4 linked regions of the Lepisosteus oculatus genome follow. The protein of the gene in region 4 purifies or fractionates together with the protein of the main gene of each other region. This does not show direct contact. Links are inferred from orthologs where the notes say so. Each region holds a gene or a part of one and is shown on either strand. Other genes may lie near its edges. The genes, in order: ppp6c, ankrd52a, ankrd28b and ppp6r2a.

Region 1 (7,450 bases), on a different chromosome or scaffold from region 4:
AGAGGGAAGAAAAGGAAACCGCATTAAACCTGGACATCTGGATGACTTAACTGCCCATTTTACCATTTTGCTACAATTTTAATCATCATTGCTTTTACTATCACTTTTACTGTGCTGTCTTGCATTAAAAAAGGAAAACACAGACCCACCCCACTATCAGTTCACTGCATGAACAGGGTCTTCTCTAATGGGCAAACTCCTTTCAAACCACTGCAAAACGCTTTCAACCTCAAGCATTTACAAGAAGGTTCTAATTTTTTTTTTTAAACAAAAGTACAATTTGAAAAATTAGGCACAGCAAATTACTCTCCGAAAGCGTTTTGGAAATGTTTTGGCATGAAAGGTTTTATGGGAAAAAAAATACTCATGAAACCGTGAAAGTGATCTAGACATCATAAATTAACCTCATTAAAATGTTTCTAAAAGTAGTCCTAAAAAACGTAAAGCTGGAAGTTTAACACAGTATCATAGACGTCTCTTTGAAGCCTGAACAAATTCTCTCCTGTGGTATTTTACAACACTCTTTGTAAACATTCGGTATCTGATGGAACTGCCGATGATAAAGAGTAAAAAGCACACTTACAAATTACTAAAGGAATATCATCAGCTAACATTATAGAAACCCACGCCCTTTTAACATTCCTGGCCCTGACCGAGGCAGTCAAAAATGAACGTTCTGTTTAAAGACAGCACATTCTGGCTTTCTGGGAGGAGAGAGTTGCTTTCAAGCAGGGTTTCTCACAAGAGAACCCCTGTTCAGGCACAACATCAAATTCATATACAATATTAGGCTAAAATTTGCTATTAATTACAACATATAATCTTTTAAAACAGCCAATTCACAACCCACAGTTTCTTGGGCTCCTCTGCTGTTTCTCTGAGAATATCTAGTTGAAATCTAGGTATCCAAAAGTTTCAACTATTGTTTTAACATATCTAATCTAACTAAAGTATTAATCCACATTCAATTTGAATGTGAATGAAGAAATTAAGATTTTTTTTTTTACTATTCTTACAAAATTGGAGTTGTCACAGTGTGACAAGAACCGGGTGGTGGACTACATCTATGTTTTTAACTGTTTTTTTAACCCTGACACTAGGAGGTGAAAAGGAACTCAAGTACATGGTTAACAAAACTTCAGTCTTGTACTATTAAGTTATTTCGTGGCTTCAAACAGTAGCGGAGTAAACATTTTTAATGCAGATTTAATAGGTTTTAAATTCAGAACTATTTGATAATTATTGATAAGCGTCACTTAAAGAAACAATGTCATATTTTCCAACATAAGGACTAGGAAACTCGTTGGCTGTCCATACACCTGACAGTGCAGTTCAATAGTCTATCCAGGAACATTTTGCAATACCGTGCACTATGTACTACTCTCCTTTCGGGACCTGAACAGAATTGTACGTTCGAGACTAAACCATGATTTTTTTTACCTAGTCATTTGTTAATGGACAAATACGCGCCGTGTTTTTCTCAGCATGTTTCGGCAATTCCTCGTTACTGTGTTTTTTTGCCCTGTCTTCTTCCGGTCTGTGCCCGGCTTCCCTTCCGCATGACTGTTTTACCCATTTATCCTCAGACACACATTTCTGCAGTGAAAAGCATGTGTAAAGATTTAGTTTTGATTCCTCTACGGTGGAAGGGAATAACTGTTAGCTATCAGGCATACCCTATATCCTATCCTCATCTATAATGCCCCCCATGTACAAAAGTCCAAGCTCGATTTAAAAGCGGTGCAATATTAGCGTAATTCAGCTCCCGACAAAATAGTTATCCTCTCACCTTTAAGTCGTTTTCTGGGAGGTATTTGCACTGTCTTGCGATCTCCACATACTTATCTAGATCCAGCGGCGCCATTTTAGGAACAACAACTGTTACAGCCTGCGAAAGGGAAGAGGTAAAACGTCACTTCCGCTGTGTTTTGGCCAGACACTTGCAGTCATTTTTCTCCATCTGATTTAGCAGCAGCCGGGTGCGGTAATCTGCAGTAATTCTGATTGAAATTCGGCTATTTATATACGCTTCCGGCTCATTCGTGTCGCTTGGTGTAGCTTCTCACCCTGTGCCCTGAGGCAGCTTCCCTCTTGCAACAGTTCAGACAAACAGACAGCCTTACCTGTAACAATACACAAGACTTTCAAGACCCTTCTGGGATCTAAAGCTATTCAGATTTCCAAAAATGCCCGTAGGTACCGAACCAGGTATATTTTGACATAGAATCTAATATTAGAGAATTTCTCACGGAACAGCTATGATCCAAAATTGGACTCCCAAGCCCTGGACTCCTGGAGGTTTTCTTGCAGTTAAATGAGGTTTTTCCTTCCCCCTGTGCTGTGCAGAATGTATGTGTCCACAGGATGATAGGCCAGAAAGCTGAAGCAGCATTTGAATGCTGTCTGAGTAGTTCTACACTCAAAATAATGAAAGCTGATCTGATTGAAGAGAAAATCCGCAGTGTTTTGATACAGAACACCTGTGAAATTGACGCTTTATTTAAAACCAGAAAGGATGATCCACCGGTGAAGTGTTAACAATGCCCTTCAAGAAAAATCTAGTATCGGCCACTAAAAGACCCCTATAAACTCCAGCAACATTGGCAAAGGACGCTCATCTGGCAAAACCATGGTTATATACTGTTAGCTGGGGGTCTGTAGAACAGATTTGAACTACTTTTGGAGAGGCACAATTTATTTTTGTGTCAGGAATGAGACTTTTTCCTGTCTAGCAGTGCACAGCTCTGTGTCAATTTGCAAGGAGGAAGTGATATAAAAACAGCAATAGGATTACAAGAAAGCAGAACAATAATGAAGAACGACAATTTCCTATTACCCGTGGGTCTATTTATCACATTCCACCTAGTTTTGAGGATGTAAAAAATTGTTGTTGTGCTATAAATGTGACTTTACCTAGTTCAGACCAACCACAGACCACACCACATCTCCAAGATAATATTCCTTTTTCTTCAACATCCCTTTCCAATTGTGAACTGTTCCATTTTGTCATAGGCAAGATGACAAAAACACAAGAGGCCGCATACACCAACGGGGGTAAATTAATTGTTTCCTAGAGCATGGGTTTCTTCTGTTTTTTATTGCAGCTGGGCTGTTCAAATTTCATCGAATGTCCCAGATTATGCTATTGTTGATGGAAAAACAACAAAACCATCTTGCTTCACAGAATGACGATTTGTAAGCTCATTTTTGACGCGGAAATCGTATAATTACAGTAAGCGCCCAACTATGTGAGAAAGGTATTTGCTGTTGTTACCCGGTGGTGCAATGCAATAAAAATATTTAAACTGATACCACAAGCGAGGGTCATAATGAGACTTTATTACGTCACGTAAACGTGGCATTAAGTTAGAACGAAAACACAGAAACAAAACTCTTCACAAGCGGCGGAGACGCCTCGGTTTGACGGTTTCTCCTGCTTGGTCCACGATGAAGGTCACCGCCGCCGGCCTCCTCCGCAGGACGTCCCAGGGCCGAAGGGGGCAGCTGCAGTTCGCCGTGCTGTCCGGCAGCGGGAGGCCTTTACCTCCCTTTCTCTGCCTCCTGCCCTTTCATGGGGTTTTATGAGCTGTGATGAATCACTGGCGCTCGGCACCGCAACGCCACGCCTGTTGTGTTGAGTGTTGACTACTTTTTTTTATTGTAGATTTTTAGGTTCTTGCCTATTTTGCGATTAGGGGAAAAAAATGACAGATGCATGTGAAAAAATTTAAGATGGCCATACATACATAACCACCTCCAGTACGTCGACGTCACTCTAAAGAAGCTTGTTGGCGTATCCATGGTTTCCTGAATGTCTCATCCCATTGGCTCTGCATGGGAGTGCAAAGGGCAAAGGTGAAAGTGCACGGCGTGTGGTGGCAACAGCGCCTGGAACTGCGGCGTAAGTGTTGATGATGCTATAGACGTAATTTATATGTGACAAAATTTAAATCGGATGGAAGTGCGGGTGGTTTGTTAGGCTTGACCGTTTTACTTCGTGTTAGCATGTCCGGAACGGATAGACTTACAGCTTGCAGCCAGATATTTCCGCAGACGCTTCAGTGTTAACAACGCGATTTAGACGGAGGATGGTAGGTTTGCTGTTGTACATTATAATCAGGCACACAACGGATCTGCTGTGTGCATGGCATGATGTACTTTATCAAAATGTTTCAGCGTATGCCGATAACTATACCTCTATACTTGGAGTTTAAAGAAATCGAGGAGGACGGACGTGTGACATTAAACGTCAGTGCGGATTGAATTTAGCCGAAACCTCTTTGTGACGGTGAGGTGTCTATCTTACAGATATAAGTAGTATCATTTAAAAAAAAAAGTTATTTCAGTTCAATACTCCATCACTCGTTAAATGAAACCTTATGAATTGTGCACGGAGATTTAAGTACCTTGAATGAAGTTTGAAACCAACACATGCTTTAGGCTGATACACGTGCCTTCTGCATGTTTAGGTGGGCTGCTTGTGCGATTTCCTTTGCGTGAAGAGCTAGCACCGTGTTTCCAGATTAATGGAGCTACTTCAAGTACTGGAGCCTGAAGACAAGCCACAAGAATCAACCTGGTCAGTCACAACCTTACCTGGTCTCGGAGATTCTAGGGTTTATGGTAAATGACGTTGTGTCAGTGCATAAAATCCGCTGGTAGGTATTCAAACAAAAGCATACTGAACTCTGAGCTCGTTTGCAGGTAAAACACAACGAGTATATACTGTTTCCAGTAAGAAGTCAAGTCAGATTATTTTTTATTGTTATTCAGTAAGGATAAGGATAATAATCTGCTACAGATTATTAGGTAACATTTCGTTGGTTAATGAAAATGAAAATCCACATGGTGGTATATAATCAGATTCCTATAGTTTATGAATATTACATCTGTCTGAAACTGTACAGCCTCTATTTTCGGTTTAAGCAGTCCGGAGAATCCAACAGCTAAAACATAATCCTGACTTTTTTTTTTTTACATTTCAAGGAATTGTCTCTACTGAGCTCATACCTGGCAAAGCTCTGAAGCAGGGTTTCGCCAACCTGTGTGTTTGTAATGAGAAAGCAGCTCCTTGTGACGATGGCGGTGTCGCATGTTGTGTCTCTGGGTCTAGGTATGCACTGGTGCCCGCAGGGGAGGGGCCGGGCGAGAGGGTTGGCCACACCTGCACCTACATTCCCGGGAAAGATGGACACAAAGGGAAGATTCTCATTGTTGGAGGAGCCAATCCCAATGGAAGCTTTTCAGATTCCTACATCATCGATCTGGGTAGGATTCTCATCCTGAAACCTGGTTAGGGGACATTTGAAAGGCGGCAGTTCTATGCTATAGACACTGCATGTTTTGAGCTTGGTCTAGATATCAAGAGATCTCAATGAATCTAGCTTAGGGTTCTAGGGTGGGGGGTTTAAATATCTGTGTCCCAGTCAGTCACTGTAAGAAATAAAGACTTGATTAAGCCCAAGGCATACCTTTGCCGGTATTATCCCTTTCTTTTCATGGATTACAGATGCTGGCTTGTAAAACGAATAACTGAGGCGCTAGTTTGCTATTGCACCATACAGCAACTCCTAGGCTGACTTCGAGGTGCAGTGTTTATGCACACAGTTTCCGTGCGTGTCCTGTTTTATAGCGCTCGGTGAACGGAAACTGAAAGGTCGCTTTGTGGCCCTTGATAGGAAAGCGGTTCTCATAATCTTTTTAAATGGCATGATTGTGCAGAAAAAAAACAAAGCAGAGCTTCCCCAGCGACAGGAGACAATCTGAAGACGTTGACATTTCATTTTTCAATTCATCCGTGGGACAGATGCCCACGAGTGGGACGTGCCGGCCTGGGAGGGCTTGCTGCCCAGATACGAGCACTGCAGCTTCGTCCCCCAGAGCAGACCTGGCAGCCTCTGGGTGTTTGGAGGGGCGGAGCAGAATGGCAACCGTAGCTGCGTGCAAGAGTTACAGATGGGTAAAAGCACTTTGGTACCAAGCCTGGGAACAGCTCCAGTTCAATTCTCTCTGACAGTTAAGTAGCTGCATTATTACTGCAGTTATAGCGATTAGTGTGGATGTTTGCACGTAGAGGCAGCAACACCCTGTTGTTGTTTCCGTAACATTAGTCGTTTACAGGACAGGGCTGTTAGCCTTGAACTTGAACTTGAACTTGAACTTTATTGCCATATGTAACCGGTACTGGTACAATGGAATTCTTACTTACAGAAAGTCTCTCGATTATAAAACAAGTGTAAAAAACAAAACAAAGTGCAAACAGTGCATCAAGACAATGTACAAACAAACAATAGACAATGTGCAAGTAAACATGCAGACAGTTTGAATGTAAACAATACAGACGTGTAAACAATGACTGGAGACGTACAATTAATAAATTACAATGAGGTAGATGGTGATGGTGTAGGTGTGGTCCGAGGGGGATGGCTAAATGTGTTCGCCAGTCTCACTGCTTGTGGATAGAAGCTATTGAAGAATCTAGTGGTAAGTGTCCATATGCTCTTATATCTCTTGCCTGAGGGCAGTGGGGTGAAGAGCTCATGCCCTGGGTGGTGACTGTCCTCTGTGATGGCCAGAATTCTACCACGGCAGCGGTCCTCATAGAGCTGTTTAATCTCGGTGAGACCGCTGCCGATGATCTTCTGGGCCATATTGACCATTCTCTGCAGTGCCTTTCTTTCTCGCGAAGAGGTGTTGCCATACCACACGGTGATCCCGTTGGTGAGGACGCTCTCGATAGTGCAGCGGTAGAAGTTCACCAACACATGTGTTGGCATCCCCCATCGCTTGAGGCACCTCAAGAAATAAAGGCGCTGCTGAGCCTTCTTCATGATAGAGTCAGTGTTCACAGTCCAGGTTAGACTTCGAGTCCCTCCAACAGCACAAGCTCAGGCTGTCGAGTGGAAAACGCGCTCTGTACGTTACCGCTGTTCATGTCCTTGACTGCTCGATATAAGCGCCCATCAAACCCAAAACCTTCTTGTTCATTCTGTTCTTAGTTTTAGTGCCTCACACACCCTATTCTTGATTATTAATGAGTTCTTAATAACTTGATTATTATTCCCTCTGCATACTAATGGCTGGGCCCCCTGACTAGCTCTGCTGGTAGAGCATGAGACTCATAATCCCAGGGTAGTGGGTTTGTGTCCCACCTCGGACGCCAGGTCCTCCACGTTGGAGGTTGTGCACAAGGCAGTCAAGGACATGAATAGATAAAGGACTTTTTTTTAGAAAACCGGTCGCATCTTTTGTGTTAAAGTCAATTTTTCAGCTGTATTTACCTATATATTCAGATGCAAGAGGGGCAGAACAGCGGTAACGTACAGAGCGCGTTTTCCACTCGACAGCCTGAGCTTGTGCTGTTGGAGGGACTTGTCCTGATGAAAGTCCAGACGGAGCCTGGAGAATCCAGGAGAAACCACAGGGCGATCAGCTAGGTGTTTGAACGCCT
Region 2 (8,013 bases), on a different chromosome or scaffold from region 4:
CAGGGACTCGATTTGTAGAACGCCGCACAAAAGAGACATCACAAAGTGATCTATCGAATGTGCACAGCAAGGCACACCAACCAAAGCCAGGCCCAATCGCCCACGAGCCATCACAAGAGAACCATTTGTTAATAATTATGGACTCCACCCGCGAAGAACGTGTCAAGAAAAAGACCGCAGTTCTCACCAGTGCATTGACATCTTCCTTCTTGTGCAACAACAATTGAACTTCTTCTGCATTCCGGTTAAATATAGCCTGGACCAGGGGGGGCTGCAAGACAAAACAAGACTCTTTCAGAGTTTAGAAATAACACACAAGCACTTAAACACCCTCTCATCCTCTCGGCAGACAGCATGGCTGGTCACTGTCCTAGGGAGAGCACAGCAGCTGGGGTACGAACAATAGCCACTGTTTCGGGCGAGGAACACCTGGACTCCTCACGTTCATACAATTCTATACATCCATCCGATGCCGTTTGATAAAGGCATTTCCTCGCACGCGCCGTTCTGCAATTTGGGTTTGTAGTTCAAGAACAGGAGAAAGGTTACACCGCCTGCTCGGCAGGAAGACATTGTAATGGATGCCACGATCTGACCCATCCATTTCTTGAAAGAAGCCAGTTTACCAGCTGCCACAACATGACTGGGTGGCTTGCTCCAGACTCCCGCCACCCTCTGCGTAAAGAGGGGTAGAGGGAAGCCGGCGTAACTTAAAAAAAAAACAAACACGGATCACGACTTGAGCACTATTCAGGACTGCGCGCACTGCGACTCGACTGGCTTCATCTTCTTTTCCCTCAAAGGGTTTTCCTGGAAAGGCAGATCTCATCTGCTTATTGGGGGGGGGGGGGAGTCAGGATGCTAACAATGGAAAGAGAAGGAGGCGTCTCCTACACCTTCGCCATAATACACAGAGCGAAAACATGGAAATACAGGGCTGTTGTCCTGTAAAGCAAAGCCCAGCAGAGAATGGAGGTTCCCCATCCGCCTTTGGCAGGGTGCAAATAAATAAATCGCAGGATTGTTAGGTCACAGGTTCACCGCACGATCTAGCAGAGATCACAGGATCCGAGCTAGAAGGACACAGAGTACCTCCCTCAGGTGCTCACACGCGGCTCACAGGCCTTCAGAGGAAGATCTGCTCCTTCATTCACTTTAAGGAAAAAGCCAACTGTCTTCATTACCCCCCCCATACTGGTTAAGAGGGCCAAATTGATCTTTGAAGGGTGAACAGAACGCAGGGTTTCGAAAGACGGAGCAGGGACCCAGAGCACAGCGAGACCTGCCCACATCTTCAACACTCGCATCCCTCAGGCCCTGCCTGGCTTCAGGAGCTCCGCAGTGAAGACCTTCCCGTCACCCCTTGAAAGCCCTACAGCCCTAACTGTCAAACGGCTTCTAGGCCAGGCAAAGCACTCCAGGGATGTCCACTGTGTGGACACAATCCCTAACACTGCCGTATTTTTGCACCACACAGATCATATCACAAGAGGTTCTAGCAATACTCTCTGGGCAGAGGTGTCGGGTCTGGCTCGAGATTTAATGTTCTGAACCACGGGGTTCGCACACGGGGCGCTGGAAGCATAACAGGCAAAGTTAAGACGACATATTTACACATTCGCCTTCTCTGCTTCCCAGTGCCTCGTCATTGCTCCAGGCAAAACCTGGAACGGCCTTAACAGCGACGTCATGGGAGCAGCAAAAACAACGACGCATATATACACACACGTCACACTCAGACCAGGGTCAAAATCCACACCATGGACAGTATAAAATGTGTGGCTCATTAGTTTCATGCCCACTGCACCACAAAACGTTTTAAAAGATCGGTAATATTGTATTTATAAAACGATTCATCTGCCAGGGCGCCTTGTTTCGGCTCACGGATGGGGCTTTGGGCGCTGACCGGAGACGCGCAGTGTTGAGCTCAACACCCCGGCCAGGCGCAGGCACCTTCAGGTGCTCGGACATCTTCAAACACACACTCCCGCGTTTCTTGGCAACCTCCCCGTCTCCCTTCCCAACGACGGCGGGGGGGGGGACAATTCACCCATTAATATTCTTTCGCTTTTATTTTAAGATAGGCAGGTGAGCCGCGACCCTACAGATTAATGGGTGGGCCGCCAGCCCTCAGTTTACCGCTTAGACCAATTGCAACGGAATCGCTTTTGCCAAATGTCTTTCCTCTAAATGTGCAAGCGTCTGGAAAAAGGTTGTGTCAAAATTACAAAAAAAAAAAGACCTGCGTTCAGCTAGCCTCGGCAGCATCACTAGCCAAAAACGTTCCGCCTCACCATGCAAACACACATAAAAACGACGTTGTCTAGGTACAGCGCTTTAGATTTCCGGACAATCGTAGAAAAAGATGCATTTTCATAGTTGCAGAATTTTTTTTTTTAAGCATGGAAAAGAGCTAAATATTTCCGGGAACCGAAAGCGGCGGAAAAACCCCCTTCTGTGTCTGACATTACAACCCGGAGACGGGAGTGCGCGTCCCTCATCCCTCGGCCGCAGCTGCAATTGGAAAAAAAAAACTACACGATTGAGACAGCGCACAAAAGTCACACAAAGAAACGGTCGTTAAGAGAAAATCCAGATCTAACACCACCCGCGACTGCGACCCAGTCCTGCCCTGCCCGGGGGGAGTTTTAAATACGAGGAGATTTGAGGGGGGGGAAAATGTGACGCGAAAAAGGACGTCGAGGGGCCTACAGCCGCCGGCCTTTCCTAGTCAGCCCGGGCCGAGGTCTCAGCCGCCCGCCCTCCGGAAAAGAAGCGGAAAAAAAAACCCCGATCGTTATTTCCACCGCGTTTCTCCCCTCCGCTCGTCGCGGGTCCCTCACCTGGTCAGTTATGTTGAGTATTCCCATCTCCCGGACTCAATCAGGGCGAAGCTCCTTCATCAGGATGGGCTGGAGAGGTAACTGGCGGTAGTTTTATTATGATTATTACTGAGGAACAGGGTCGCTCGGTATCAGTGCGCTCGCTGTTGTTTATTGCTGGTAGACTGGAAGGGAGGGGGAGGAGGAGGAGGAGGGAGGCTGGGGGGGGGGGACACCGCCTACAGGAGCGGCGGCGAGCGACAGCGCCACCCCCTGGCGGGACCGAGCAGCGGCCGCTAAGGCAACCGCCGGCTCCGAGGTGCTCGGAAACGAGACCCAGGCTGCGCTGCGTGGGAGTAATTAATTACGCCGCCTGTAATGAAGGAGGGAGCGCTAGGGGGACTTCACTCTGCTGCTGCGGCTAATTATAGCCCTTACTCGCAATACACAAACAGGCCGGGTCACACGATCCCAGATTTTCCTTAGGCGGCCTTCTGAAAGGGGAGCCGGGAGACCCGCCTGGAAGAAACAATGAGGACCGATAGTTTGAACGGGGGGACAATTTAGAGGCTGATTCCCACGCCGGAACGCAGACAGAAGATAACTACGTCGCGAACAGGGAGGGGGGTTTGGGTTTCTACGTTTCAGCGGAATTAATCTCCGCTTCGCGTTCAGCGGCGCAGGAAGAAAAGCCTGTTGACGGATCCCGACTGCACCCCTGTCCCACGGACAGTGCGTCACGTGTGCACAGTTCCGAATAAAATCGAAACTGAGCGGTCTTGTGCCCAGGAAAGCGCTTTCGTTTATGCCGGGATCCCGGATTCACAATGCGAAAGTACCGAGGACAAGCAGGGCGTGACTCTCTCTCATCATCTCCCCAGTCGCCACATCCCAGCCCCGTTTAATCTCTCGGTGACGCAGCAGGAGCCAAGAACCTTGTCCAAACCTACAAGACAGGTTGCAGGGTTTGGTTTTGAAGGCGTCCTTGCACCCCGGATTAGTGTGACAGAACTAAGCGCCGAGCTGCGCTGCGTGTGCAGGCTGGTCTGGGTCTGTGAGGAAGACTGAGCCAATAAAGCCCATATCGAGGCAGCTGGTGCAAGCAGCCACATTCATCAGCTCTTATGTGTGAATAAACCTTGGGCGGCAGACCTAAGAGACAATAATGAGCTCTGATTTATCGATATTCAGCTTTTTTTTTACTGCAAACGACGAATATGCACGATTCTTTATATATACTATTATCCATATTAATAATATTTTATATAACTTTACAAAAAACAATTTAGAATATCCTGCAGTTGAAATATTTTAAATAATCCCATGAAATGTTTCATGATACTGTTCTGTACTTGGTGTATTTAAACTTAAAAAAAATATTTTTTTCCCCCAAGATAAGCAATTCGATCGCGGCTCGGGAAGGTTCAGAAAACTACCCATCCCAGAAGGCTTTATTCTCGCCCTCCCAACCGGACGTTGTCACGCTCTCGGTTTTACGCAACACCCATTCCAGGGGGTTGGCCTAGCAACTGTATGACGTAACCTCCAGTGACAGTGAGAGGCGACTGAGCCGGTATCTGGCGGAAGGTCGGGATTTGGCGAAGAGGACGACGGACGTACAAAACAGAGAAAAAAAGGAAGAAGCAGTCACAAAAATGACAACAAATCGCTGACAGCAACTTGATTTTTGGGTACTACATGAAGGTCACCTATTTTGGAAAGCAACAGCCGCTATTTTTAAATGTTGGGTTAATCGATCGTGTCCTGGCTTCGTGATATCGTATAGTTTGTAGTATTAGCTGCTCCGGAAAAATAGTAAACCCGAGGGACCGTCCCGGGAGAGAAGAAAGGAGCCTCCTGGACTGCGGAGGGCTGCTTCCTGCCGTCGACGGGGCTCTTTCGGGGAAGGGGGGCATCTGAGGAGAAAGGAAACATCCACCCCCGTTTCAGGGACCTGGCCATGGCCGTCGCGCGGCGGCTGCCCATGGGCGTGCGGACGTTCAGCGAGCTCCTCGAGATCGCCACCCTGGGCACGAGCCGGTCCGCCAGCCGAGTGGGGTCCCGTGCCCGAGGAAAACAGCCAATCAGGTGAGAGAGAGCCCCGCTGCCACGAGCAAAACAAACGGCGTCAATGAGAGAGGGGCGCGTGGGTCCGCGTCCGAGACAAAGCGCAGATACCGCGCGGGTGCTTGTAGACCTGGAGCAGGTCCGTATGGTCTGACCCCGACCCGGCCGGCGTCCAGGTCTCTGGCGTGAGTATGTCGGGGGGGTTTTCTCGGGAGCAGAACTTGGTCCCCCTTCTAACTTTGAGTCAGATTCCGAAGGGGTTACTGGGAGGAACCGGTCTAAATATCCACAGGCCACCCTGTCAGTTCAGCCCGGCGCAGTGCGGCTGGAAATGTTACACCAGGGCCTCTCGTCTCATCCCTTCTGGCGTTTGCAGGCAGCCCATACGCCCGAGAAACGCTTGAGAAGAACATTTTGGGGAGAAAAAGAAAACACGCTGTTATGTCGGCTCCACTACACCGCGTTTGATCTCTTTTGCCAAAACGTGGTGCCCAGCCCGCAGTGTTGTTTCCAAGGGTTTAGTCTTCCGTGCTGAGCGGGGGAAACCGGTCGTAGCGCCTTGGCGTGTTTTCGGCACTGAAACCGTGACACAGCGCGGAGGACTGCTGCCGTCCCGCGGCGCGTGGCCGTGTGGACGTCTTGTTTCACTCAGAGTTTTGACGGGGACCCGAGTGAAGGTCGGTCCAGTACTTCAGATCGGGACTAGCAGAATGAGGCTCCAGTCTCCTCGTTGTGAAAGGCACATCAGTGTAAAGGGAGAACACAACCCATGTAAACAAGTCGTTCAACAACGGGGGGGAGTTCTTTACACGAAGGGTTGTGGGTGGATGGACCAAACAACCTATTGATGCTGCAAATGCTGAATCCTTCCCATTAAGCTTCCTCCAGCCACCTAAAGAAAACAGGCCCAAGTCAAGGATGTCAAATCGCTAGTCTGAGGAGAGGGGAAAACTCTTGTAGGGTTTGCATCTGAACAGTGGCTCCTGTGTCGGGTGGCTGGCAGGGCTTCAGGCCAGACCGGCAGAGGGTGACCTTCCAGACTGGTGCAGCGAGTTAGTGTTGGTGCAGACAGACAGAGGCTTCAGGAGACCTTGACGTTAGACCTTGTCTGACAGTGTGTCACATGCCTCCCATTCCCAGCAGCTGTAGGGGGAGCAGTGCGCGGGGGCGGGGGGGTCTCCTGTAAGACCTGTACCCCCCTGTGAACTCTGACCCCGGAAGGGGTCACCAGCCACCCAAGCCTGTAGATCCCTCCCCCTGGCCAATGCATGGCCTTCATGGAATTAGGGTGGGAGATGTTGTGTGTGCTCAGATATAGTCCTTTTCACTTCACAGTGTGGCTTTTCACCTGAGCTATGCCAGTGCAGCCTTGGGGCTTAAGATTACTGTGGCACCGCTCAGGGCAAGACTGAGATCTCAGATCTAGAATTCCATACACTACAGGCCCGAGTCCTCGGATTGTGCCTCCCTTGTTGTCTGTGTAGTCAGAAAGCAGGAGTCTTTACAGTGTTTTTCAGTGGGTGTGTTCTTTTTGGAAGCGGCTTCATCTGTTTCTTATTCACGTGAATGTGGGGGAAAAAAAGCCTTTCTCCTTAACTGAAAACAGCAGAACTTTCTTTTTTTTCCGATTCTGCACAGAAAACAAAGTAAAAAAAAAAAACCAAAACAATTCCCCGCTGTTGACTCATACAGTAAAATAACATCGGCCCACACTCACAGGAGATCTAAATCCCTCACAGGTTTTTTTTTTATTTGCAGCTGCTTCTGGCACTGTTGTGCGATTGTCCACATGGGCATTTTCCTGTTATCAGCGGGGTTTTGTCGTGTGCCGTCTACCCGGTGAAACTCAAGTCGGCAATATGGAGGTCGAATGTTCCGGCTTTCTTGTCCTTGTGCTGAGCACCAGACCCCAGTGTGTACGCCGCCTGAAGAGACTCTCCGCCTGGCGGTGCCGCTCGGCGAGATCGCTGCGCTGTTGTGTGTTTTTGGGGGGGGGGGTGCGGACTTGGCACCCTCGGGGGTGCTCTGTGAATAAGGTGCCTGCAGCAGGGTGGCAGGGTGGCAGGAAGGGGGCGCCGCAGGAGCTGGGTGCCGCACGCTGTCACCCGGGGCTGCTGGGGGGCCGCCGGCGTGTCATCGTGTCTGGTTTGTTTTTCCAGTGTTTGCTCACCGCAGGCGGAGCTCTCCCTTAAGCCAGGGAGCGGGAGGCTTGCAGTGCAGCTCAGCTTTTAGACAAACAGACAGCGCAGCTCCGCGGGCGTGGGCGAACCTGCTCGCGCCAGTCAGGCTCAGGCCCGGCCCGCCCGGCTCGGGGCTGGCCCCCAGAACCAGAACCTCCCGAGAGACGGGCTGAAAGAGGAGCTGTCGTCCACACCGTGACTGGCGGGAACTCAAGGAGGCCAAAGCCCCCCCGAACGTGGATATCCCCAGGGCAGAGTTAGCTTTGCCTGTGCTTTCCAGCCCAGTGGGGCAAATGGTGGCGTGAGTTGGCTGGATACTGTGGTACCAGTGTGGCTCCTCATCACTGTTGTGAGAACAGGGTGTTACTGGCCATTAGCTTTAACATGAAACATTTCTGCCCTTCATCCATTGACCTTGTTGCACAATAAAATAGCCTTCACTAGCTTCCCCATAGTGTCTGCTGTGAAGAGTTCTGCATCATTTATACCCTAAAGTGCAATAGGTTTTAAGCCTTAATTACACGAGGTAGAGAAGCATCCTAACTCAATGCTTTTTTCCCTATATTATTTTTCACATGTGAGAATGGGCAGACGGTTGGGTTTTTGTACTGACGTGACGTGAGGCCTGAGATAACCGGAATCGGTGGGCCCGAGTGGCAGGGAGGTGAAAGGTCAGGACGGAGGCAGCGAGCGCTCGCTGGGCTCTCTGATGAGCAGACGGCAACGCTGGCTGCTCAGGGAATGAGAGAATCCTATCGGGATCCCGGACCGATGGCAGGCCGAGGGGGGCGGTTGGCGCTGCTGCCTTACGGGTCCAGGGGTCCTGGGTTCGATTCAGGCCCCGGAAAAAGGGGGTGTGGAGTTTGTATTTTCTCCCTGTGTGCGCTTCCGTTTCCTCCCAGACACGTGGAGGCTCTAAATTCTCCCTCCCTGCTTCCTCCCCC
Region 3 (7,507 bases), on a different chromosome or scaffold from region 4:
ATTCTTTACTGAGCATTGAGCAGTGTTTTAAAAGTGGTTTTACAGATTTAAAGTTTTATTCATATTTAAAGGAAACCAAAGTGAAGAAAAATGTTTCATGTAACAGTTTAAGTTTGAAAAGAATAAAATATGCTCTAGCAGTTAATGAGCTGGAATCCATACTTAGTCATATGTTCTTGTGGTTGGAAAAGCCCAAGGCTATGTGAGTCACCAACCTTTTTTTAAAATAAAAAAATGCCTTCGAAGACTCCACCCTAGAAGTCTGAAGTTTTATTTAAAAATATATATTTATGTCAAATATGACTCAGTTTTCCAGTGGCATTTGTCGTTAAGCCAGATGTTCTTTGTGGGAGGCCTTTTTCAATTTGAACAGTAGGCCTCTCCAGTAGAACTTCATGTGTATTCAGTGTTGAATAGAGGTGCACGGTAAAACCTGCATTCCGGCATTTAGACGCTCTGTAATTTCCGGCAATTTCCATCAGTGGTTTTATTTTTTCAATTTTAACAAAGATTTTCCACTGTTTACATTCATAAAATCAAATTTGATTATAAAAACAAAATGACTGTGATAATGTTGTTAACTTTAAAAGGGTGAGTAAAAAAGTCATACTAAAGGTATTTCCTGCATATCATTGGCTATAAAGTTTAGAAATATGATGGGAATTTGGAAATCACGCGGAAATAACCGTAGCTGATTGGTTCAGAACGACCTTGACTTTCATCTTTATGGGCATTCCCAATCAAACAAAATTGCGGTATGAGATAGTCAATAACACAAGGGCCAAATCTGATGTTTGGGAAGATTTTGGGCTTAACAAATGTAAATCGGATTCAAGAATTGAGGAAGGTAATCTTTAATGATTGACAAAATTCTGCATGTTGCTTAATTGTTCTGTTTCACTGTTCAGTGTTATTTCTAGTTCTTTCATTCCAATAAAACAACAAAACAACATAATTTTCATTACCTTATTTTGTATACAACTCAGTATGCTTAACTAATCATAAAATGAGAGGGTCTCCATATATAAAATACAAAATAGTTAACAGTATGCAGCGATGTTTTCCACAGGCGGTACCCAACCCTAATGTTGAATGGTGCTCATTCTATATACAAGTACTAATTTCATCTGAAGAGTGTATAAGTAATTTGAAGGAATTTACTTTGGAAATACTTGGTACTTGGCAAATTCTGGGGTCTAGCAAGGAGGAGGGTGATTAAGTACAATAAGTGCTATTATAGTAAAGTATTTTTTTACTGGCTGTTTGAAAATGAACAGTTAGTGGCTGATATTTGTTCCTGTGAGCCACTTATGTATTTTGATTTTCTTATTTTTTTATGGATGTTAATTTGCATGTGTTCAGTTGGAGTTACCAACTGATAACTGGAGTAACCAACCTGAGATCACTGTATCTTTTTTAACATTGTGTATGTGCTACAAATTGGTATTTGTCACCATAAATAGCATTATTATTTTATTAGTATATAGAACTTGAACCTGTATCTGCTAATTGATATGATTTTATGTTAAGGCTGTAGTTTAGTTTACACTAAATTGAATGATTTCCAGAAAATGTATTCCAGAGCGTTGTGTTAAAAAGAGTTTGAATTTAGTTTATATGTCATTACTTCAATTTTAGCATTAGGCAGTATTTTAGTTGTATTCAGAATAAATAATTCGGCTTTGTCTTCTTCTGCCTTTTTATTTATACATTGAAGTGATCCGGATTCTTCATGATTTCTGTCATTCTTTAGGCAGCAGTAGGAAAGTAGTGGTTGGGGCTTTGGTATTTGGACTGCCGAGATGCAAGTTCATACTCCTTACGTGTATGGCGCACTGCTAATGTACTGTTGAGCAGGGTACTGCATTCGGATTGCTTTAGTTTGCCCAATGTAAATGGGTCTTTAGTACACGAGAATTTGTAATTGTGGTCTAAATCTAAAGAGAGAAACAGTGGCCATCTGCAACTTTTAGTATCAGAGAGTTGCATATTTCTATGTCTTCTATATCACAAATCTAAGAATTCTGTGCATTTGCAACTGTTCCTGAACTTGAGTGTTTTCTGATTTGTTTGCATTCAGTTTACAGTTGAGACGAGGTCTGTGTTTAGCTTGTTTGATTGGAGTGAAGTTCTTATTTTGTAGGTAGATGGCAGCCCTATTTTGAATTGTATCAAGACCTTTGCCAAACTTCAAAAAAGAAAAATCAGTTTAAGCCTTTATCTTACAAGCCTTAGCATGTAATGATATTTACATATTAAAGATTTTATAAACAATTATTGCTTATTTTTATAAAGTAATGTTTTAGCCTCCTTTGTTCCAAAAATGCAATATTTTAGCACTTTTGTGCATTATGTATGACTTGGGTGTCTTTTTTAGAAAAGTGTTTTTGTCTTCTTAATTTCAAATATTAAAGCGTTCAATGGACTGCAATAGTACCCATGTTGCTGATTTTAAGACCAGCTCCACTGACATAGTGATCATTTTGTTTGGAGAAACTATACCATACTGCAGAACTACCATGCATGTCTAAAACAGGACACTTGTAACCAGTAAAGGAAAGACGGAGGGTGGTGCCTTGTTGTTTCAATAATATGGAATCTGCATTGTTGCCAACTCTGAATGAGACGCACTGAAATTCCTTTGCCTCCGCATGACTCTTAGTTACTAACATGCCAAAGTCTTCCTGTAAATGCTTGAACTGCTTTGTGTTGTTCATTATTAATTGTCGTATACATAATTTATTGTTTGAATTTCTTGATTGTACAGTTTATTTTGTAGTTGTTCTGTTGTATTTTTACTACAGTGCAAAATGACCCATTTGAAAGCCCTTTTGGGATTTCTTTCTGGAAATTATACTTTTAATTTTAATTTTTTTTTCTTTTTCCACAAAATATGGGAGCTTTATTATTGTTACTGGTGAGAGTCTTGGCAGCTTTTTTGATTAAACAAATCGTATATGGCTTCATATAGTTTTTGCAAAAAATATTCACTGAATATATCTGCCCTTTTCCATTCTTAACCAGCACCACATTTCTATTAGTCTGGTAAAAACCTGTTTGATGGTAACAATACAGGCAGTGTGACGCTTGAAATGAAATACCTCAATAAAGAGAAGATAAGTCAGTGAAGAAAACAAAAAAAGCAAGGCAGTGTGATCAAAGGTGTATTGTTAACCTGTGTAGAAATGATTTAACATTCATTAAATGTATTTGCATTTTGGATGTAAGATAAATAGTGCCGAAAGGTCATATTTGACTTTTAGTACCTAACCTCGGACATTCTTGGAGGTGTAAAGTAGCAAGCCATAGTTTAGCTTCTGTGCGTGTTTACTGCACCTACTGTCCTTCAAAGGTCTCATCTCAGAGTCATGGGCTCTAGTCTTTCGTAATAAGCATGACAGGGTGCATTACTTTGGGTTGTTGCTATTTTTAAAGTGATCTAATTGCCTTTGCAGTTTTTTATTTAGGATTTCTCCGTTCCACTTTAGTCTTTTATAGATTAACATTCGGCATTTTATACATTTTATTTTCAGAATTATTTCATTTTGCAAATACTTTGTAAATCATGTTGCCTGTTTTGTTGCCAAAAGGAGGTAAGGTGACTCAAATATTAAACGGGGAATCTAACCTTTTTTTCTTTTATTGGAATATAATCACCATTGTAAGATTTTCCTTTGTTACTTTAAAATATTTTCATAGGATAAGGGAAATTGCCATGTTTTCTAGTGCATGTATTTTAAGGTGTTTAATTATTCAAAATTATAAATATCGGCACCATGAACAACTTGGTTTGTGGTTTGTACTTTATTACATTATTTGGTATTGTTATTTATCTCAGATTTGTATTGTTTTATGTTTGTTTTGTATTTTTATTATACAGATTGCTCAAAAATGCCTTTCAGTCTGTTTTGCTGGCATTTAAACTTTGATGCTCTGAGAACAGTAGTACTGTAAAAGTGAAGGACTTATTTTATAGCTAATAATATGTATCTTTACCCTGTCATTTAAAATAAAAAAATGATTCTTTACAGTTGTTTGAGTATGTACTGGCAAAAGGAAGGTGATAAACATTTTTAAAGCAATGTTCAATGTTGTATTGGATTAAACAATTAAGAATTGATTACATTTGATTTGTTAGTGCTCAATGTAATGACATGGAGGCTTTAAAAAAGTTTTCATTGTAAATGAAGGCAGAAGGGGCTGTAGTGAGACATTTTAAAACAATAAGCTCTACTCTACTTTTGCAGATTATAAAGAGTTAAGACTGTGTGGTAAGGCTGAAATGCTTTAACATGCTGGTTCATATGAAAGCAGTTAAAACTGCCTGCTGGAGAGAGTCACTCTCCTATAAAGAGGGAGACTAGAGAACCACTTGCCATCGATGCCTGATTGTTTCCAGTTTCCACTGGAAAAAATATGTATTGAAGCCTAGCCATTTTTCATTTGCATAGTCCTATTGGACGAGCTGATTAGTCACTCCTCTAGCAGACTGTGCGTCTGGGAAATCCGCCTACAAGGGAACATAGCTCTAAAGAGAAAGGCAGTGAGAAGCTACTGAAAGATCTTTTGATCCTGGTCTGGATGGAATTATAGCACTGTGATGTTACTAGGTGGTTCATCAAGGCGAAAAGAGAGTGTGGTTGTGCTGTATTGCTGAAGATAGTGATTTCTCTTCTGCAGAGCTGCTGTTTTTTTTCCCACTGTTAAATTCACATTTTAAAGGCTCCGAGCTTCTGAAAGTGGAGGATTGTAATACTAAAGAGGACTGCTTCTTGCAAAAGTAGTGTTTTTGAACAGTGCTAAAGAATATTAAAACAAATGCTCGAGGAACTGAACTAGGCTGTAACATTTTACTGGATTTCTTAAGAAGTGAAGCAGAAGATAATAACCTCCCTTTTTATTGCTTCGTATCAAAGCAGGCATTGAAGTGATAAAGGGCTTCTGCTGGAAGTGCTCAGTGGTAATTATTCCAGCTTTCACACACAACAGTTCATTCACTACTGCAAGTGGAGCATACTAAACTAGCACTGCACCTCCCCCTCTTATTCGACAGGAAACTGCAGTGAATTCTGCATCTTCAGGACTAAGGGGACACTTGGGCATAAGCACAGAAATCTCAGTGCCTATGAGAATATCCTGTGTTTGCTGTTTAATTATGTGCTTCCTAGCACTGTAGATGGATTCCCACTGGAGCACATGGACTGACTCATCGGACTTTATGGAAATATATTTCAGTTACCCAGTAGCAGATCTGCTGTACACCCACCGTGCTCAGCGGCAAAACAGCACATAAGCATCTTGTTTTGTGTCAGCTAACTGAAAGAGGGAAGCATGCACAAGCAGGAAGGTGCGGGATAATCTGTACGGATAATCAAGTGAGACTTGTAAACCTCTGTGAGCAGCTTGGAACAATCTGACCTGAGGACTACAATGGGGAAATGGCACTGACCTTGTCTACAGCCTGACTTTTTTTTGTTTGGCTTTCTGTGCGATTTTTGCTGCTTCAGATCTCTCTTTATGTCTTGGTAACATGGCTTGCTGCTTTCACAGCTGTTTACAGACTGCCGTCCTGTCACCCACAACAATTATCACTCTGTGCGGATGAACAACCACTCCGGAGAAGGCAGCCTGATCAGCAGTGTCACTATCCCTGCTCTTGTACGACTGGTTGCACTCAGAGTTAAAGAATATTCTCATGTATGCAAAGGATCAGATGAGCTTAGCATTGTTTTAATGTGCCTGACTAGCTTGTAAACAGGAAGAGTATTGTCAGCGCAGTTGCTGGATGCAGATGTGAGTCATATTGCTACTTTCAGCAGCGTTCTGAATGAATGGGGAGTTCGGTGGCTTTGAATATTGGCTTAAAATAATCAAAGTAAATGATCCATAACTAGAACCGTCTATGTGCAGGTTCTGCTCCTTTGGGTTTCAAATGTAAAATGTGAATTTTTCTCCTTCTTGATTAATATAATGAGCATCTGATTGAAGCGTGCTTTAATTATGAAACTTGTAGTGTGGACTTCTGTGCTTCCCTGTTCTCTGTCCTAAAACAGCGTTTGTTGGGCAGCTGTGTATCTTACTTTGTTGCGGGAGCAGTGCATTGGAAACTTTGGAATATTATAGAAGTGAATGAAAGCAGATCGGATGAGCCGAGTGTGCATTGTTGTTTTAGAGGAGGAGGAAGATGATCCCTCCACTTTTGTTTCGAAAGTTTCTCAGGAACATTATCCCCTGCCTGCATCTAACTCAAATGCTCAAGATAGAAAGGTGAGAGATGTAACTTTTATAAAATGTGTTCTGTCTTACTAGCTCTTTAAAGAAAATGAAGTTTTGGAAAGAAACAGTTCAGTAGTTACAGTGCCTTTGTGGCACTTTCTCAGAGGCTGGAGGGATTGTGTTTTTGTCTTAGTCTTGTAAATAAGACCATTACATTAAAGTATTTACAGCATTTAATGTGTTACTCTGCTGCGTCTAGTAATGTGACTGTAAAAATTTTTAACACTGTCTTAGTTATAGAACTCAAAAAAATATTATGATTAGAAATTTGATGTTCATAAGAGTACAACGAGTCTTGTCTAAATTGAAATTTAAGGTAACATTGGTCAGCTTTTTTCAGGGGTGCGTGCTGGGCAAATCCTTGTTTTTTATTACATGCAAAATATACAGTGATATGCAGAGATAATTTTCACTCAAAGATCAAAAAGAGTTAAGACATAATGCAACGTTTCAGACGTTGAACATTTTTAGGTGTCTTTTTTTACTTTCTAGTGTGGAATTAACTTCTACTTTTTCCTTTGCAGCTCACGCACGAACATAGCTTCCTGTTGTAAACCGAAATTGTAGTTGATAATTTGTGCATTTTTGACTATGAAAAAAAAATAATTCTGGTAATTTTCTACAGAAGATCTGTTGGAAATTTGGACAATTCCTATCGAAAAACAGACATTTGAAACAAATGGCGTTGGCATTGTCCAATTTTTGAACTGCTCATTTTATACTGGGAGGAGTCCATTTTCCTGGAAATGATTAACTCCTACTTTTATACTGAATAGAGTATTTGATGCCAGCTACAACAAACTGATGCGTAAGCGATCCCATGGCACATGGTAGTCCTAACATGTAATCCTGTCAACGGGATATTAATATATTTATTCCTCTCTCCTCTGTTTCAGCCACCACTGCTGAAAGCTATATTTAATGTGGATCCAGATGAAGTTCGCTCCCTCATATTTAAGAAGGAAGATGTAAATGTACAGGTAACATGTCTTGTGTAACAGAAGATGATTTTCTGTAATGTGAAATTTCAGCTGCAAAATAACTTCAAATTAAAAAGTAGTTTGCTTGGTTAAGTGTTTCCAAATAATACATTAACATTTATCTTTGGCATTGCTCACAAATGCCATCTTAATGAATATTTTTGGGCATTATAAGTATTAGGATCATTTTGACTTGAATCTTGTGTGAATATGCATTTAAAAATGTTTTTCATATGACATATGGTATTATT
Region 4 (7,822 bases):
CATAAAACACCACCGATAAACATATATAGAAAAATAAAAGTTCACGTTAACATACCAGGACCACTGTTGCTGAACTGTACACTATCTGCTCCCAAGTCCTTAATAGTTCGATCATTCTGATCTGAGGTTTTAGCTTTCAAGTGAAACCATGTTTCTTCATTAACTGATACCAAAATGTGCCTGTAATGTCTTTTGCACAAATGTTTGCAAAATAATTATATATGTTGTTAAATCATGTTGTGTAGCACTTATGCAGAAGTTATGTGTTTTTTTACCGCATTTAAGTGAAGCATTCCCACTGTTATTTTATATAATATTATAGAAAATTAAGATCTCTTTCGTTCTCTGTATCATTCAAGTAACAGAAAACCATTACAATCAAATAGACACAAGACTACTGGCAAACTGTATTCATTTCAAAGGATTTAAAAAAAACTGCATGAAGAGAATGTCCAAACCACTGTTAGAAATTTCATTTTACAGTCATTTTGGATCATGGTTTAAAGCAATCATTCAGAAACCAAATATTAAACAAACACTTTGCGTCATCAAGGGCTGAAGTCTAATTGCAAATAAATAAACGTCTTCAAAAATGGAATTTGCTTCCTCAGTAACTGCATAACTGTTCTCAGCTCAAAAAAGGAAAATGCACTTAAAAAAACCCCAAGAGGGTCTCTTTCCAAACTACGTCAACATGGTCCATGTTATTTTATTTTTTAATCATTTCAGTGTTCATGTGGCATAATCTGGACAGAAATAAATTAATTGCAAGCGACCAAACCATGTCTAATTTCACACTGATTAACACCTTGGAATCAGAAGCATGGTAATCTGAATTACAATGATGTCATAGAACTTTGAGATGGACTGGAGAATTGTGTGCTGCTGACCTCATAGATTACGCAAAAGAACTGCTGTGAAAGAACTGTATCAGTAACAAGAAGGAAGCAGGCTGTTTAGGTAACAATCTTAAAAAAAACATCTTTCCATGATGCTTTCTTTGGAACGCATATACTCTAATAATTTCATTAAGTTGAAAAACTTCAGATGTGAGTGTAGGCTAATAGTTTTTTCCCCAGTTATATTCCACTGATATGCTTAACAGCTACATCATTTGAAAAAATACATATATGTACATGTATAATGTACAAAAAATAAGGAGAGCATTTTCTTTAGGTAATCAACCAACAATTCAAAGCTATGACAAACTGCAAATTATTGATTGCATTCATGCAGAATCACTTTGAAATAGCAACTTCCATCACATATTTTCACCAGAAGGGAAGTGCTTAATTTTGCTTTCTCGTATGGTTTTAACAAAATAAGACTACTTGCATGATACAAAGCAGCTTTAAGCTGCAAAAAGAACCCATCAACATCAACACTGAGGCAAACAGAATACCAGGGAGTTGTGAATACAACTGCAGGTCAAAAGGCTAGTGACATGGCACAGGACCCCTGGGGCCACTGCACACCAAAAGAACATTTGGACTTTCAAACATTTGTTTTCTGAAGATACAGAGACAGGTAAGGTGCATTTCCTTTTGAGCCATCATGGTTTGAGGAACAGCAGCTGTGGTTCTATTTTTATTTTTATAGTCAAGCATTGTTGCCATAGGAACACAACCAAGCTATCAAAACATACACATGAATCTGAATCACAGAGCATTTTAGAAAAGGGGACAGGAATACCCAAGCATCTTGATCATCTTTCTGCTTGGATGAAACGAGAAAAAAAATCACAAGGTGACAGGAGACTGAGCTAAAGACTATGTGCTGAATATTAATTTTCCACTGGTAGATATCACTCACTGTGCCAACCAATAGTAAAGAGATCACAATATGTTTGAAATGCAGTTTGTCAGAAATCATGCTATAAAATAAGGTAAAAAAAAGAGTTAAAACAAAAAATAAGTGGCTTTCAATAATACAATATGTTCGCATGTTGGCAGCAAGGGATACATTTTTATGGAAGGATGTCGTGTGTTATGGACATATAAAACAATTACATCTTTATAGTCAAGGAGGGAGTGTTCTTTAAACTTGGTTTAAAGAAGTCACTGAGGGCATTTCTGAACTCCTTTTATGAGTACCTACAATTGTGTTCAAACGTTCAGGAACCCTTGGGCAAACTGTTTGTTGATTCACAGCTGAAACTGCAAGTGAAAACAAGCTGACACAACCTCTGTGTGGTACAAACCTAAACATCACATCTTCCCTCAAATTTTTAATGTACAATTAGTATTTATTTACAGTTTCATAGATAATCAAAATAATAAAACAGTAAATACGGCACAAGCAAAAGTTTGACTCTGTCAGTCAATACTTAGTAACACCTCCATTGGTAGAAATCACAGCTTCCAAACATTTCCCTTCGGCAGATAAGAGTCTTTCTATTTTTGCTTTCAAAGCCCCCCACCCACCCACACCCCACTCTTCTTTGCAGAACTCTTTTAGCTCCAGAAATATTCTTAGTTCTTCTTGCATGCACTGCATGCTTGAGATCTCCGACTGAAGATCGGATGTATTTATTCAATTTAAGCACAGCTCAAAATTACTCAAGAGTGAACAATCCCGATCCCACATTTTGCATTATTTAGGTTGCCTCCAAGAAAATGTTTCACTTAAAAGGGATAAAGTGTTATTTTTTTATTCACCAAGAAGTAAAACAATACCTTCAAATCACCTCCGATCAGAGTAATGGGAAAATTAGCAATACCCCTGGCCCACAACCTCGGACCCCCACACACACCGAGGCAGTCAGCGGGCTTACTTGAAGCGGATCTTCTCGTCCATGTCCTGTGGAGGCTCCTGAGTGATGAGAGTGACCAGCTCCTCCATGCAGTGGTCCTGGCTGAGGAAGAGGAGCAGCCGCCGGTTCTGGGCCTTACACTCCTGCAGGATGTCATCTTCGTCCATGAGCTCCCGCAGCGTCACATCCTCCTTGTCCAGCAGCTTGTCAATGTGGGAGGTGGTGTGCAGGTCGAACTTCCAGAACATCGTGATCAGGCACACAGATCTAAAGACGATACGACGATTACCGATGAGGTCAGTTAAGGCGTAATAAACCAGATGTAGGCCTGGATTAAGTAAATGCGCCTTTGGGACAAGGATTCTTTGATCTTTGCTTTCATCACGATTAATGAGACAAAAAATGGAGCTAAAGCACTGGTATGCAATGCCCATTTGGGCTGACGCAAGAGCTCTAGACCCCTTGGGAGAGTTTGTTTTACGATGTGAGGTGACACTGACCAAAAAAGCATTGAGCCAATAAACAATCTAAACAATACTGCCTGGATAACATTAGGGTTACTGCAAAAACAAGTAGTGTTATGTATATGACTATCTTAAAAGCTTTAAAGCTTTTGTTTCAGATTTGCAACTGCAGAAGAATGAAGACATTTACCTGTACAATTCATTCAAACAAAATCACTTTCAAAAATGAAAAAGCTTAATATACAGTACAGTATCTGAGAAAAAAAATGACTTCAGGAATCATATTTAAGAATCTATCTGATCATTTAGGTACAATATTACAAGTGCTGTCTCAGTCTGAAAACAGTAGAGTATGGTATTATGTAGGGGTCTGGGTAAGGCGAAACTGAAAATGAAGTTTAAAACAGAAAATGGCAAAAAGTACCTACAGTTTATTGACTTTAATTTGACATTTTTTTAAATTTGACACAAGCCTTTTAGCTCAACTATGTTTGTTAAAATATAACCCTACACTCCAAAATGAATATGGAACAACGAAGGCTCCCAAAACCAGAGACAGGGGTAATCAAACCCAGGCTATTGGATCTGGCAATTGTATAAATTAACATTATTGTAATGTCTCTCTCGAAAGTTAGTTTTCAGTTCAGCAATAGCTCAAGATTAAACTACAAAGGCAGACTGAAATCAACTACAAGTATTCAGTTTATAAAGACCCCAAATGCACTTCAAAGAAGGTTTTGTTTTAGTTTTGAATTGGTGTCGTACTCAATTCTGTGGTAAATACATTTTTGTGTGCAGAGCTGGATGAATGACAAACCTTTAGCTATTGTAGGAGTTAGCACACAGCTACTTGTGGATGTTTGTTACAGTAAAAAAAAAATAAGACCGTGATAAACTGCTTTGAATAAGCATATTTTTAATACTTACGTTTGTGGCAATGAGCTGTTTAAAACACCATAAAAGTGAGGTTGCAATTAGCTGGAACCGGTTTGAAAACCTTAAGTGTTTTAAAGTGTTGGCTCACATTTTGGGGGTGTTCTGGGTTCTATATTGGGAACTTAACCATTTCATTATTTACATTATTTTTTTCTTGGTCTGATCATTCCCCATCACTGATTTCACTTGCTGTGCTGAGAAACTTAAATTTACAGACCAAATCAGATACTACCGCAGGAGCTTCTGTAATTAATAGATGTCTGTTCAATACTAACATCTGGATCTGAACTAACTTTCAAGGACCTAACAAATGGTTTCAAGACTAGAAGTCTATAAACTTAACCTAAAATCACCCTGCAAAAGTCAGTGACTTTAGTATTATTGACAGTGCTAAAATCAAACCCTTAAGGAAAGTAGGAAAATTTGGTGCTATATTTTAAAGTTAATGTTAGGAATGTGAAGAAAACATGCAAGTAAGCTTTTCATTATACTCATGTACATATGACAATAAATTGAACATATCAAGGGTATTTTTGCCTCACCTGCAAAATACTGTTTAAGATCTTTTCTCAGCCTTCATTATTAAATGTTGGTATCCTTGATATTACATTTTAGGGAACTAAACATTGACCAGAATTCTGCAGTTCATGTCTTGACATGAATACACTGCAGTACTTAACTCCCATCTTCCACAAAATACATTAATGCCTAGTGACATTTAGAGTGGAAATGTTCTCCTGTTCATTTATGAGGCACTAATAGTCAAATTCCAGGTTATCATAAGCTTTTTACCTGGATACACTACAAGACATTATCTTGTGGGTCTCTGCCAAAAACCAGGCTCTACACTATGAGCAATAGAGCCTTCTCTTGTGTGCATTGCTAAAAAAAAGTTTGAACCCCAAAGATAAATACAGAAATTTCTCAATTTTACCATAATAGCCTTGTTGAATCCAAAACACTTTATGTAAATATCCAACAGGGTTTATAGTAACTTTCTTTCAAGGGACATGGAATTGGTTATGTATGAATAAAACAGGCAATGACTAATTAAGATACAAGGTATGTGAAAAAGTAAGTGAACATCATCAGCTCAATTAAGGGGATAATTTGAAACTGGTGTTTAAGTAATTAGGTGGATCTCAGGGATTGAAGGCTCCACCTTAGATAATTATCTGAAACACTGAGTTTGTCCTTCACCAGACAGGGGTGTTAAGAGAGGTTATGCCACAATTTAAAGAAATCTCTGAGGATCTCAGAAAAAGAGTTGTTGATGCTCATCATTTCAGAAAGGCTTAGAAAACCATACTAAACGATTTAGGATTCCACCAATCCACAGGCAGATAGTCTACAAATGAAATTGTTTTTAAGACCAGTCACTCTACCCACAATCTCTCCAAGAACAAACCAGAAGATGTTCAAGGAAGTTACAAAGAACCCCAGAGTAACATAGAAGGAACTACAGGTCACTTTCACCCTGCTGACTATGACTGTTCACAATTCAACTATCAGAAAATGACTGAACAAGAATGGTGTTCATGGAAGGATATCAAGGAGAAAACCACTGCTCACCATCAAGAACATTGCTGCCCATCGGAAGTTCAACAAAGAGTACATATATGATTCACAAGGCATCTGGAACAATGATGCCTAGATTGATGAGTGAAAGGTAGTGGTGGGGGTGTGATGGTTTGGGACTCTGCTTTGCTGCCTCAGGTACTGGATTGCTGAGGCAGCTGTGAATTCCACATCAGAAGATTCTAATGGAGAATGTCATGTCTTCTGACTGTGACCTAAAGCTTAGCCCAAAGTGCAATTAACATTGACATACAAGAAGATCTACAAAAGAGTGGCTGCCCAAGAAGAAATTATGTGTTTTACAATGGCCTAGTCAAAGTTAATCCCATCGAAACGTGACGGGATCTGAAGAAGGAATGGGCCAAAATTCCTCCACACCTTTGTGAGAGATAACGGTTACAGGAAAGTTAATTACAATAATTGCTTCTCGGTATAATCCAGGGTCATAGGAAGAAGCAGTTTCTGAGATTGTATACATGGATTAAACTGTTTAAAAGGGCACTGTTCTGCTGTGCCCTCCAGAAGTTTTATACTACTTTAATTGACTTTAAATTAATTTGTCATAATATGGTCACCTACAATGAGGGGATTGAATACAAAAAGTGTTATTATTCTAAAGTGGGACAACATGTAAGCACAGAAATACCCCAAAATAAAAGGTGAAATTCTGCAATTTATCCCCTATTCATCTTTTGATCTCAAATCTGAATTTCTTGAGTATACAGCAAAAACAGCACTTTTGACATCACTGTCCCATAACGTATGGAAGGCACTATATTAAACCTTTAAATACCCTCACTTCACAATAAAAAACAATACCTGTCAATAAAATGTGTGTATCCTTAATTAAACCTCTTCCACAGGCAGGCGAACATTTGTCTTGCAGATTGCAGAGTGCACAGAATAATAAAAATGCTTTCATTAACCAGCATGGAACTTCTCCTTTTGCTCCACCTCAGCTGAGATATTGTTGTTAACCTGTCAAAACAATAGGTTACACATCAGTGCTTAAGACAACCAGAAATACATCTCAAAATACAACTATGAAAATACAGAAATATGAAAGTGCAACTATGTCCTTTTGCATAACCCAACTCAAGAAATGATAGAAATGTATTCACATAATATTAGAACATGGAACAAATCTGCCTCCAGGCAACAGACAGATGTGTCCTGTCACACACCGTTAAATCATAAATCAAAAGCCTAAGTTAAAATCAATCTTTTAACAACCTCTTTCATTTTCAACGGCCCCTGGTTCGTTGTGAATATTTTTCCATATAATTAACAATTTATCGATAATTCCACAAAACACACTGTGACTTATTTGAGTAAGGTATTAGAAAACTGAAATCAATTATGCATTTGAAACACAAAAACCTAAATCCCTATGTACAGATTTCATGCATGCAGAAAACAGTTTACAAAGCAAACAATACTTAGCAGATTGCCTGAACATATTCAAAAAATTCAAATGAGAAAAGTCTTTAGCATTATATGTAAATTTGTTTTTGTATTAATTTTATAACAGAGAAAATGAATTGAATCATCTAGTGACTTACTGAAAGTACCAGCAGATAGTTGATTCCTATTCATTTTTTAATCATATATGCATTCACCTTTAAATTTATCAACTTTCTGAGAAGGTGTTTAATGAAATGTGATTCATCACAAATATGTGTGCTTCACCTTTGATTAAAATGCCAGTAAGCTAATGGGTGAACCCATCAAAACGTTAAATGTCAGGACTGTTGACTGAGACAATCTGAACACTGCCTTTTCTGTAACAGCTGTTTCTGTCTCTTGGCAAATTACAGTATGATACAAATTCACTACACCAAAAATACGGATTTTACTTTAATGTCAGGGAATTAAAACTCTATCTGCACACTACTTCAGATTGCATTCAACTGAGCAAACAATTTATCATTAGTGAAAGATAAACTTGCACTGAATGGCAGCACTCTACAGAACCTAAAGTAATCAGCCATGTATTTCTACATTATGAAGCCTGCATTGGAAAATGAAAAAAAGACTTGCAATAACTTTTTGCAACAAAGCAGCAAGTTGAGAAGCAGTTTATCTTAACACA

The links.
Region 1: the proteins of ppp6r2a (region 4) and ppp6c purify together in Homo sapiens (affinity purification with mass spectrometry; 9 studies listed by BioGRID and IntAct, counting the BioPlex papers as one, with this or other methods). This does not show direct contact. The link is inferred for Lepisosteus oculatus from reciprocal best matches to the Homo sapiens genes PPP6R2 and PPP6C.
Region 2: the proteins of ppp6r2a (region 4) and ankrd52a purify together in Homo sapiens (affinity purification with mass spectrometry; 3 studies listed by BioGRID and IntAct, counting the BioPlex papers as one, with this or other methods). This does not show direct contact. The link is inferred for Lepisosteus oculatus from reciprocal best matches to the Homo sapiens genes PPP6R2 and ANKRD52.
Region 3: the proteins of ppp6r2a (region 4) and ankrd28b purify together in Homo sapiens (co-immunoprecipitation; 4 studies listed by BioGRID and IntAct, counting the BioPlex papers as one, with this or other methods). This does not show direct contact. The link is inferred for Lepisosteus oculatus from reciprocal best matches to the Homo sapiens genes PPP6R2 and ANKRD28.

The regions. Positions count from the first base shown.
Region 1 is NC_090719.1:12,993,173-13,000,622, reverse strand, and holds the start of ppp6c (serine/threonine-protein phosphatase 6 catalytic subunit), read right to left. Parts: upstream 3,005-7,450; 5' UTR 2,914-3,004; intron 1,889-2,913; 5' UTR 1,865-1,888; coding exon 1,790-1,864; intron 1-1,789. Other genes in the region: rabepk (rab9 effector protein with kelch motifs), read left to right, coding at 4,527-4,579, 5,114-5,268, 5,807-5,959.
Region 2 is NC_090696.1:15,866,643-15,874,655, forward strand, and holds the start of ankrd52a (serine/threonine-protein phosphatase 6 regulatory ankyrin repeat subunit C), read right to left. Parts: upstream 3,013-8,013; 5' UTR 2,871-3,012; coding exon 2,844-2,870; intron 272-2,843; coding exon 188-271; intron 1-187. Other genes in the region: coq10a (coenzyme Q-binding protein COQ10 homolog A, mitochondrial), read left to right, coding at 4,783-4,910. UniProt on the Homo sapiens protein: Putative regulatory subunit of protein phosphatase 6 (PP6) that may be involved in the recognition of phosphoprotein substrates.
Region 3 is NC_090705.1:28,200,627-28,208,133, forward strand, and holds the start of ankrd28b (serine/threonine-protein phosphatase 6 regulatory ankyrin repeat subunit A), read left to right. Parts: upstream 1-4,498; 5' UTR 4,499-6,129; coding exon 6,130-6,267; intron 6,268-7,172; coding exon 7,173-7,256; intron 7,257-7,507. UniProt on the Homo sapiens protein: Regulatory subunit of protein phosphatase 6 (PP6) that may be involved in the recognition of phosphoprotein substrates. Involved in the PP6-mediated dephosphorylation of NFKBIE opposing its degradation in response to TNF-alpha.
Region 4 is NC_090702.1:13,043,870-13,051,691, forward strand, and holds the start of ppp6r2a (serine/threonine-protein phosphatase 6 regulatory subunit 2a), read right to left. Parts: upstream 3,001-7,822; coding exon 2,774-3,000; intron 1-2,773. UniProt on the Homo sapiens protein: Regulatory subunit of protein phosphatase 6 (PP6). May function as a scaffolding PP6 subunit. Involved in the PP6-mediated dephosphorylation of NFKBIE opposing its degradation in response to TNF-alpha.